Linked DNA regions of Saccharomyces cerevisiae S288C. The gene in region 2 interacts genetically with the main gene of each other region. Each region holds a gene or a part of one and is shown on either strand. Other genes may lie near its edges.

Region 1 (2,859 bases), on a different chromosome or scaffold from region 2:
CGTTCCCGTGGTAGAAATGCTTTGATTTTCAGATATGCGAAAATAACGTCGACGTTCTCTATCATAATAAAACCCTGGTAAGTTAGGTGTCATTTGTTTAACGTCCGTTAACTTCCCCTTTCTGCTTTACCAACTGCTGCTTATTTATTCGCCCTTTTTTGTTTTCCATTGTTGTTCATCTCATTGCCTTTTTTTATTTTTCAGTTTTTCCCATATGCCAACGAGGAAAAAAGCCCTTTCAACCATACCAAAAAAAATGTATTTGAAGTAATGAATAAAGAATGATGATCGCTGGCGTTTAACATCTAGCATATATCTGCAATAATTTATCACTCCAGAAGAAACATCCATCGTCAACAATTTGATTTAATTGTTCTCTTTTGAATACATATTCTCTCTCGTACGGTGGGATCTTGTTATTGCTTGCCATTAAAAACCTATATTTTGTCTTTCTTCTGATGATTTCCTGGGATTTCTTTTTGTCCTCGTTCCCTTCCTGAGTGGAGGGAAAATCCAGTCTTCCAAAACCTGGGGGGGATTTTGATCTATTCCTCAAGTTATCAAACGCAAATTCGTAGTCCGAATTTTGCGATTCTATAACTACTGACAATGATCTGTGTTTAGAATCCTCTGGCTTTCCAACTTGGGCATAAAATCGCTCCAATTTTCTTCTTCCTCTCTTAACCGGGGCGATATCTTCATTTGGTCTAAAGTCTTCGAGAATCCAGGCTCGCTTTGTTAAAGGGTTCGTATTGAAGTCAAACAGGAAATTATCCTTAACATTTTTGTATAAATTTGGCGATGTAGATTCAGGGTTCTCGAGCTCTATTCCCAATAGTTTTCTTGTTTTGTTCTCTTTATCATTATCTTTTTCGTGGATTACAGTATCAGAGCAATCTTCCAAATCGCTTAAGTTGTTGAGGCCATTTAAAGGCGAACTAAACTCCGAAATTTTCCGTTTATGCCTATTAGGTGGCATAGTAACCAGCGGTAACTGCACAGTGTGTTTATTTTCATTACGATAGTGAACCTCTGCTGATTCTTTCTTTATGTCCTCATCAAACTGAGTAAGGATGAAATCTTCAGAATCTTGCTCACCTGGCCCCGCAGACGTCTGAGAGGATTGTTGAGGAGCATTTTTTTCGTGACATAGAATTTCAGCCAGTTTACTGTTAGGTTCTTCGAGAACACATTTATTCCGATTTTGCAGTGCTTGAACACGTTTCGCGATTAAGGTAGTCACGTCATACTGCACATTTAGTAGTTCATCGAGACTGAGCTCCTTGAGAATGGATAAGCTTGACTTTAGATACACATTTTCTTCACCAGTCACCATCTCACATACAAACACCTAATGGCTTACAGCATGGATGGAAATGCAGGTATGTGAACGATAACAATGTTTGCAAACGTAAACAAAAAAGGTATTAAAGCTTAAAAGCTTTTTTTTTGTAGAACGCGCTTAGAAAATGGCATAAAGAAAATGGCTATTTGACTTGATTTTGAAAGTTGTTCTCAAGACTCGAATGGTGGAAGATAACAACAGGACGTTTATTACATGGCATTGCATCAGTATTTATCAGAGACTTATGGGCCCACGAAACCCAAAAATAAGACGAAAAAGAAGAAGAAAGAGTCAAAATCAGACGCTAACTCAGACAAAACTTCTTTGATAGTAAAAGAACGGCTAAGTACACTGCAACAAGAACAGGAGAAGTCAGGAGTTGCTTCATTCAGCAAGTTTGACAAACAAAAAAGCAAGAATATATGGAAGAACCTGGAAACAAACGAGCTTTCCCATGCAATAACACATCCTTCCGCATCGTCAATTACTGGCAACGAAAGCAAGAACGATCTAAAGGAAATCAGGGCTCAAGAGCCACTTGTCACAGTAGCAGACAAATCGAAAACACGAAAAACCATATACAGAGACGCTCAAGGTCACAAGATTCAGGAAGATTCCAAGATAGACGATTCTAGTTTTAGTCGATCTAAATATGAAGATGAGAAAGCCGCGGAAAGAGAGCAATACCTGAAAAATTTGAATATGGGAGACGTGCAAAAGCTTGGAATAAATGTAGATGCACATGATAAGAAGAAAAATCAAACTGCCTCGAGTCTGACGATAGAAGACCCTGCAATAACATTTACACATGACAAAGAAAGAACTGTAAAAACATCTTTACTGGGCCGCAAGCTTTATGATAAGCCAGCACCTGAGAACAGGTTTGCCATTATGCCTGGGTCAAGATGGGACGGTGTCCACAGATCAAATGGCTTTGAAGAAAAATGGTTTGCTAAGCAAAATGAGATCAATGAGAAGAAAGTGCAAAGCTACACCCTACAGGAGGATTATTGAAAATGAGATAATATATAACTATGCGGAAAGCTTTGTGTAAAAAATACCCTTTGACAATCCCCATTTGTTATAAGCTTTTTCTTAACAAGATCAACGATTAAATACAAATACCCCTCTTTATATAGGTCTCAGATATACTATTAAAGTAACCTCGAATATACTTCGTTTTTAGTCGTATGTTCTAAGTAGATTCGTCTTTTTTATTATCACGGTCAGCAGCATTGCTTTGTGACTTTGGCGATTGACATTCAGTAGAGTTTGTGCCAGAAGAAGGTTTAATCTCGCCTTTCCTACTGTTCTTTGTTTCTCCCCCAATAGTTGAACCATTGCTGTGCTGTTTACCATTAATGAATTTTTTCAAATCTTGGCTTTCCTTTTCATTGACAACAATACGACTTCCTTGATCTGAAACATTTGTCATAGGAGGTGGAGGTGGGAAGGAAATCGGTTGTCCAAACCCATGTGGTGCTGGTGGCGGAATAGACATTCCATTCATATTA
Region 2 (3,979 bases):
TAAAAAGACAGATTTTCTCGCTCATATCATAAGTGATGTACTATTATCCTCCATATACGATATATCTGTTTAAAAAAAAAGAAAAAAAAAGGTTACTTAAATTCATACTCATTAGAAAAAAATTCTAGGGATAACAACACCAAAGGTAGAACTTCGTTCAATTTATGAAAGGTTTGGCCATAATGGAGAACAAATGAATGAAGTATATAAAGAGAAAAACGACTTAAAAGATATTATTAACAATATCTGACCCAATACTAGCGCCTGCCCCAAAAATGGCGGCATTACCCAATTTGCTACCAAAGCTCTTCAAGTGGCTATGTGAGCTCTGATGTTGTTGTTGTTGTTGTTGTTGTTGGGGAGGAGGAGCTTGTTGCGGCTGTTGTTGAGGCTGCTGATAATAATTTGTGGAAGGTGGAGGAAATGGCTGCTGTTGATAAGATGATGCGGCACTATTTTGCGTGGGGATTTGTTGTAATTCTTGAGCTTTATACTGTGGAGGTGGTGGAAGATTGGATGGACCGTTAGACCCAGAGAAAGCTGGCTTGACATAGTTTGCTGGGAAAATACCGGTACGGCCATTACAGCTACCCTTGTACCACTCTGGAGATAATTTTTCTAAAAGTTGGACCTTGTCACCTGGTTTTAAGCCCAAATCACCATCTTGTTGAGGATCAAATTGATAAAGAGCTTCGACATATTCCAAGGAAGCTGGACTGGCGTTGCGGGGTGCATTGGCAGGATCCCATTTTGCCGGCAAGCTCTTATTTATTTGATCGTAAACGTCATTTGAAATGACATTTGACCCTTTTAGAAAATCCAGTTCTGTCCTAATGTTTGTTAAGGAACGATTAATCAATGAAGCAGACATTTTTGAAATATCAGATTGCCTTCTTTCCTAATGTTCTTGTGTTTGCGCCAATGTGGGCACTTTGCCTATTGTCTCAACCGATTTGAGGTTCGACTATATATGCAGCTTACAATATCCATCCCCGCCTCGAAGGAGGCTCGGTTAATCACGCTGCACGAACGAAAACAATAGTTAAAGAAACGTTTAGAACAATCTAGCGCTTTGAAGAAAGAGTATTAGGCTCTTTACGTGAAGGATGGCACATTCTCATTCAAAAGTTGCTGCTAACTTTTATCATCAAATCAGTAAACCCCTTCTTGTTTTTTCTTGACAGAAGCTTTCACATAACGGAACCAACCATGGAATAACTTAGCACCACATCGAAAAGGATTTGGACTACTGCGCAACAAAGTGGGACCCATGTAGACATAGAAAATAAACCAGATCTATAGATCGCACCTATTAAAAACCCCATAACTGTACCAGTCGTCAAGCCTTGAACGCCTCCGTATAAGACGTACATGACGAATATCCATACACTTCCAGCCTTCTTTCTATGGGTCAAGCTAGCATACACACCAGCAGTAACGTAAAATGCACCATTAAAGATCAAAGTCCAGTACAGCGAAAATTTCCAAATGTCAGATATATAGTATAAGAATGCAGTATTATACTTCGAGTTGTTGATGGGCCAGTATAATGAGGGGAATTTTGGCGTTACATATCCAACAGGTATATCGTTATTTGTTACGAATGATCTGAGCACAGGGAACATGCGACAGAGTAGTGGATGTTTTTATTGTTAGTTTTGTGCCTATTATTTTCTTAAGCCACAGGGAGCGATGCCTGCATCCAGCCGTGGCGGATATAGTCTTGGTAATGAATAACATACCTCATAATACGGCAGGAAGTTGGAACTGATCTTGTTGGCAGTTTTTATCTTATACAGAAGCGTCAAGAGTAGGAAAAGGTTTTATTATTGCATATTTATCAACTTTCAGTATGTTTCTTTTTTTCTTCGGCAATGAAAGAGAAAACAATATAATTGAAGAAAGAGGAAATAGTGTCCGAAAGAGATTCTGATATGTATTATAAAGAGAAAGACAGTTCAGTAACACAGAATCGCCATGCGTGGAGAATGGCAGGAATTTAAGACACCTGCAGGCAAAAAGTATTACTATAATAAGAACACGAAGCAGTCTCGATGGGAAAAACCTAATTTGAAGAAAGGCTCTAACCTAGAAAGCAATGCGAAAGAATCACAGACAGAGAGGAAGCCAACATTTTCATTAGAACTGGTTAATGGTTGGCACTTAATAATATACAACGATGGTACAAAACTTTACTTTAATGATGACTCTAAGGAGTTCAAAAATGACATCAGTCAAGAGGACGACAGCAGGTGTCGCTCATTAATCGAGTCGTTAGATAAGGAAAAACTGGTTCTTCTGATTGGCGTTGCCAGAGGTTACACTATGCGGGAGGAGGACATTGATAAAATCCTCGAATCTTGCAACGAAGAGATTCATCTATTTAAAAGAAATCAAGACGAAGTTGAGAGAAAAGATGAGATCAGCGAAGAGGCGGGTGACGTAAAATCCCCTTTACAGGAAAGCCACACTGGGCTAGTCAGCGGGTATGGTTCATCTTCGGGGGAGGAAGACGAAGAGGAAGACGAAGAGGAAGACGAAGAGAATGAAGAACAAATTGTAAATCAAGATATCAGCATTATCGATGATCTGAATCGTATTGATACAGATGACATTGACGAGCGTAATATCTTCTTCGAATTATTCGATAGGTATAAACTAGACAAGTTTTCCACGTGGTCGCTGCAAAGCAAGAAAATCGAAAACGATCCTGATTTTTACAAGATCAGAGATGACACAGTTCGTGAAAGTCTTTTCGAAGAATGGTGCGGCGAGCGCAGTGGCAATGCCACCGCTGAAGAAAGCGATAGCGAAGATAATAGCGAAGACGATAGCGAAGTACTAGAACCAACAAAATACCATTATCTGGCACAAATTGTTGCTAATGCGGGAACAATCGCACCCGACACCATCCCACAAGATATAAGGAAACAACAAAAAGCGTTATACAAGGCCTACAAAATCAAGGAGTATATACCGTCGAAGCGCGACCAAGACAAATTCGTTTCCCAACTGCTGTTTTATTATAAGACGTTCGACTTGGAACAGCGGAAAGAGATTTTCTGCGATTGCCTACGGGATCACGAACGAGACTTTACGGGGGCAGTCGAATCGCTGCGTCAGGACAAAGAGCTTATCGACCGATGGCAAACACTTCTGAAAGCACCCGCGGACAGTAGTAGTATAGAGGATATATTGCTGAGCATTGAGCACAGGTGTTGTGTCAGCCCAATAGTGGTGACGGAACCACGCTACTACGTCGTGGGCATTCTGGAGAAGACCGTGGTCTGGGTGCGGTGGCTAGCCGCCGAGGTCGGGCCATCAAGCCGGTTTACCCCAGTGGGCGCGGGGAACGAGCCGATAAATCCGGAATAGGAAGGGCAGACCAGGGGAGCAAAGAGTGATTAAGCTTACGCACCTGGTATGGACGTGATGGAAGTGGGGTGGTGATAGCAACCAGAATACGGTAGGGTCTTTACGCTTAGTGTACCTATCGGTATTCAGGCTCTTTGCCAGTGATTGGGGCTGCGGGATCCGCCATCATATCTAGTCACTTTTGTATAAGAATGAATGATAAGAGCAGGTGCAATTTTCGGACTTTAGATGTTTCTTGTGTTTCATTATTTATAGCACATTTATTTTTTCCCTCTGAGTGTGTGTCTGCATGTATACATTTTAGTTGAATTATAGAGAGTAACGAAACACACACGCATACACGTATATACAAAGACATATATACGTACGGAAATAGTGAATAAGGATGATTTTATTAAAGAGGACAAAAATTAGGGGCGTCAGCGTCTCTTTTGTAAGCTTGCAAAGAAGGACTCACAGCAGACTGGTGAACCCCATAAGGCAGCAACATCAACAAATTACCAAGCAAAGGAGTTCAAAGATTTTAAAGAATGCGCATTTCTATGACTTTAGATCGCTGCCCAAAGTACCTACTACACAGTATTTGGAAGCTAGGGAGCTCACC
Region 3 (2,241 bases), on a different chromosome or scaffold from region 2:
TAAAGCTTCCCTTGCTTGTGATTAATGACTATACTATTGTTGATAAAAACTAGTTTGGCGTCGGGAACAAGGGAATTCTCATCATCATTGCAACGGCCGCATGCAATGTACTGACCTATTTCATAACCTAAAATGCCAACAAGACCTCCAATAAAAGGTATTTCTCTGTGGTTATCGATTATTTTATTCTCCATAAATTTACCCAAAGTGATCCAAAATTGGGATTTATCTTCATGTATTACCTCAAGGGAGCCAGGCAAATCCGAATCTTGACCATCTAGACACTTTTTCAACAAGGTGTAACTAATTTCACTATCTTGCCAATAATGAACTGTAGTCTTTTTCATAGCTCCATAATGAGTGAATACCTGGGATGCGGAGTTTGGTAAAGCAATGATAGACCATTCACCCGTATTTTCACTAATCACAGAAGATGACATGACAAATTTTTCTTCTCGTATGATGTTGCAAATTTCAAATGTCAATTTCGGGTCTTCAGAGACCTCGAACTGCTTAACGTAAGTTGTGTCCTCGCCCTTCGGATATTTCTCTTTTACCTTGTATATGGGGTCTCTATCAATAGTCCTATCCAATCGAGATAGGATATCGGAAAACTCTCCATTAAGTTTCTTCTTTTCCCACCTTCCTGTCTTCACGTTATTTATGAAACTCAACTTGAGAAAGTTACTGACTAACAGCCCCCCCAATTCTGAACAACATGACTCCGGGTGGTACTGTACGCCAAACCATGGCTTATTTTTCGTTTGAGCACTCATCAAAAGAATACCGTTCTCATCTTCGGTTGTGCATAAGGGCAAAAGGGTGTCAATGCCTTCGGCATTGACATGCAATGAATGGTACCTCGTAGATTTGAACGTATCGGGATAACCAGAAAAAAGGCCACAAGCTCTGGCTGCATCGTTTAAATGCATTTCATACACTTGCCCATGCTTGATAGTATTTAGCTCACTGACATCAGCACCTTGAGCCAAGCACATTGCTTGGAACCCAAGACATATACCCAATATTGGAACTTCATCTAACTTTCCATTGGCATTCTCGAAAAGCTCAGATATTATACCCATATCTTGTGCACCATTGTTGGGATTCCCAGGTCCTGGGCCAACAACGATAGCATCAAAAAGCGGCAAAAGTGGCAATAGCTGATCCATAGATTGGAACGTATCACTATGTACCGTCGTCACGTGCACGGCGTTGACTCCCGGTGAGATATCAGTTTGTTGTTCAATTAGTCTCACTACATTGTAGGTGAATGAATCATAAGAGTCTATGAACAGGACATGAAGCTGTTGCTGTTGTTGCTTTGTGTCAATTGTATCGGACAGCATTCCTTTATCCCCCTTGTGAAATCTCGAAAGGTCATCGTGTAAAAGTTCTACGGGAGACTTGCTTGTTTTTATATATTCGCGGTTTTGGCTGAGAGAGATGAGGAGGGAGAGGAAAAGATTGAGAAAGAGGAGCGGTGGCAAAGCTTAGATTGCAAATAAATACTCTGAAAATGATTGAGGTAGTTGTGAATGACCGATTAGGCAAAAAAGTCAGAGTGAAGTGCCTTGCTGAAGATAGTGTAGGTGATTTCAAAAAAGTATTGTCCTTGCAAATTGGCACCCAACCAAACAAAATTGTGTTGCAGAAGGGTGGAAGTGTTTTAAAAGACCATATCTCTCTGGAAGATTATGAGGTACATGATCAGACAAATTTGGAGCTGTATTACCTGTAGAAAATGCGCTGTTTTTTTTTTTTTGATCTAAATACACAATACATACATTTGCAACCGAGAGAGATAGAATATGTAGAAATAATAAGATGGCGTTGTCTCTATAATGCTTTTCTATTGTTTAGTAAGCTACAAGAAGTAATCAACATGTCTGTTAGAAGCAGATCTGGCTTGGTATACATCTGAAAATATGTACATTTCAGGGTCCGTGGAGCCATCTGCGGAGGCAGAGTCGTCTTCGAAATAATCTGCAATCAATTTCCTGTTGGCTACCGGATTAGATATGCTATCTTCTAAGGCATTGTCGTTCATACTGTTCTCTTTCAACAGTTTATTTTCAGGTGCCTCTTCGAAAACGTTGAAGTAGAATTGATCTTTACTATACAGCTCCAGAATAGATGCTTTATTGCCGCACCGATAACAATAGTTTGGCGCCGACCATACAGTAGTAACCAATCCATCAAAATATATCTGGTAACCTTCGTTACATAACTGATGGGCTC

The links. Genes that interact genetically often act in the same process or in processes that back each other up.
Region 1: mutations in URN1 (region 2) and BUD13 together harm fitness more than expected from each alone (negative genetic interaction), as found in Saccharomyces cerevisiae (3 studies listed by BioGRID).
Region 3: mutations in URN1 (region 2) and HUB1 impair growth when combined (synthetic growth defect), as found in Saccharomyces cerevisiae (4 studies listed by BioGRID, with this or other methods).

What each region holds. Positions count from the first base shown.
Region 1 is NC_001139.9:172,987-175,845, forward strand, and holds BUD13 (Bud13p), read left to right. Parts: upstream 1-1,558; coding exon 1,559-2,359; downstream 2,360-2,859. Other genes in the region: YGL176C (uncharacterized protein), read right to left, coding at 1-93; ssDNA endodeoxyribonuclease SAE2, read right to left, coding at 299-1,336; chromatin-binding exonuclease XRN1, read right to left, coding at 2,541-2,859. UniProt on the Saccharomyces cerevisiae protein: Required for efficient splicing and pre-mRNA nuclear retention. May also be involved in positioning the proximal bud pole signal.
Region 2 is NC_001148.4:831,457-835,435, reverse strand, and holds URN1 (Urn1p), read left to right. Parts: upstream 1-1,977; coding exon 1,978-3,375; downstream 3,376-3,979. Other genes in the region: PIN3 (Pin3p), read right to left, coding at 224-871; MAY24 (May24p), read right to left, coding at 1,191-1,608, 1,743-1,747; SUE1 (Sue1p), read left to right, coding at 3,761-3,979. UniProt on the Saccharomyces cerevisiae protein: Component of the spliceosome involved in mRNA processing.
Region 3 is NC_001146.8:686,743-688,983, reverse strand, and holds HUB1 (ubiquitin-like protein HUB1), read left to right. Parts: upstream 1-1,519; coding exon 1,520-1,741; downstream 1,742-2,241. Other genes in the region: ABZ1 (4-amino-4-deoxychorismate synthase), read right to left, coding at 1-1,349; putative serine/threonine-protein kinase PPG1, read right to left, coding at 1,868-2,241. UniProt on the Saccharomyces cerevisiae protein: Forms conjugate with SPH1 and HBT1. Involved in morphogenesis.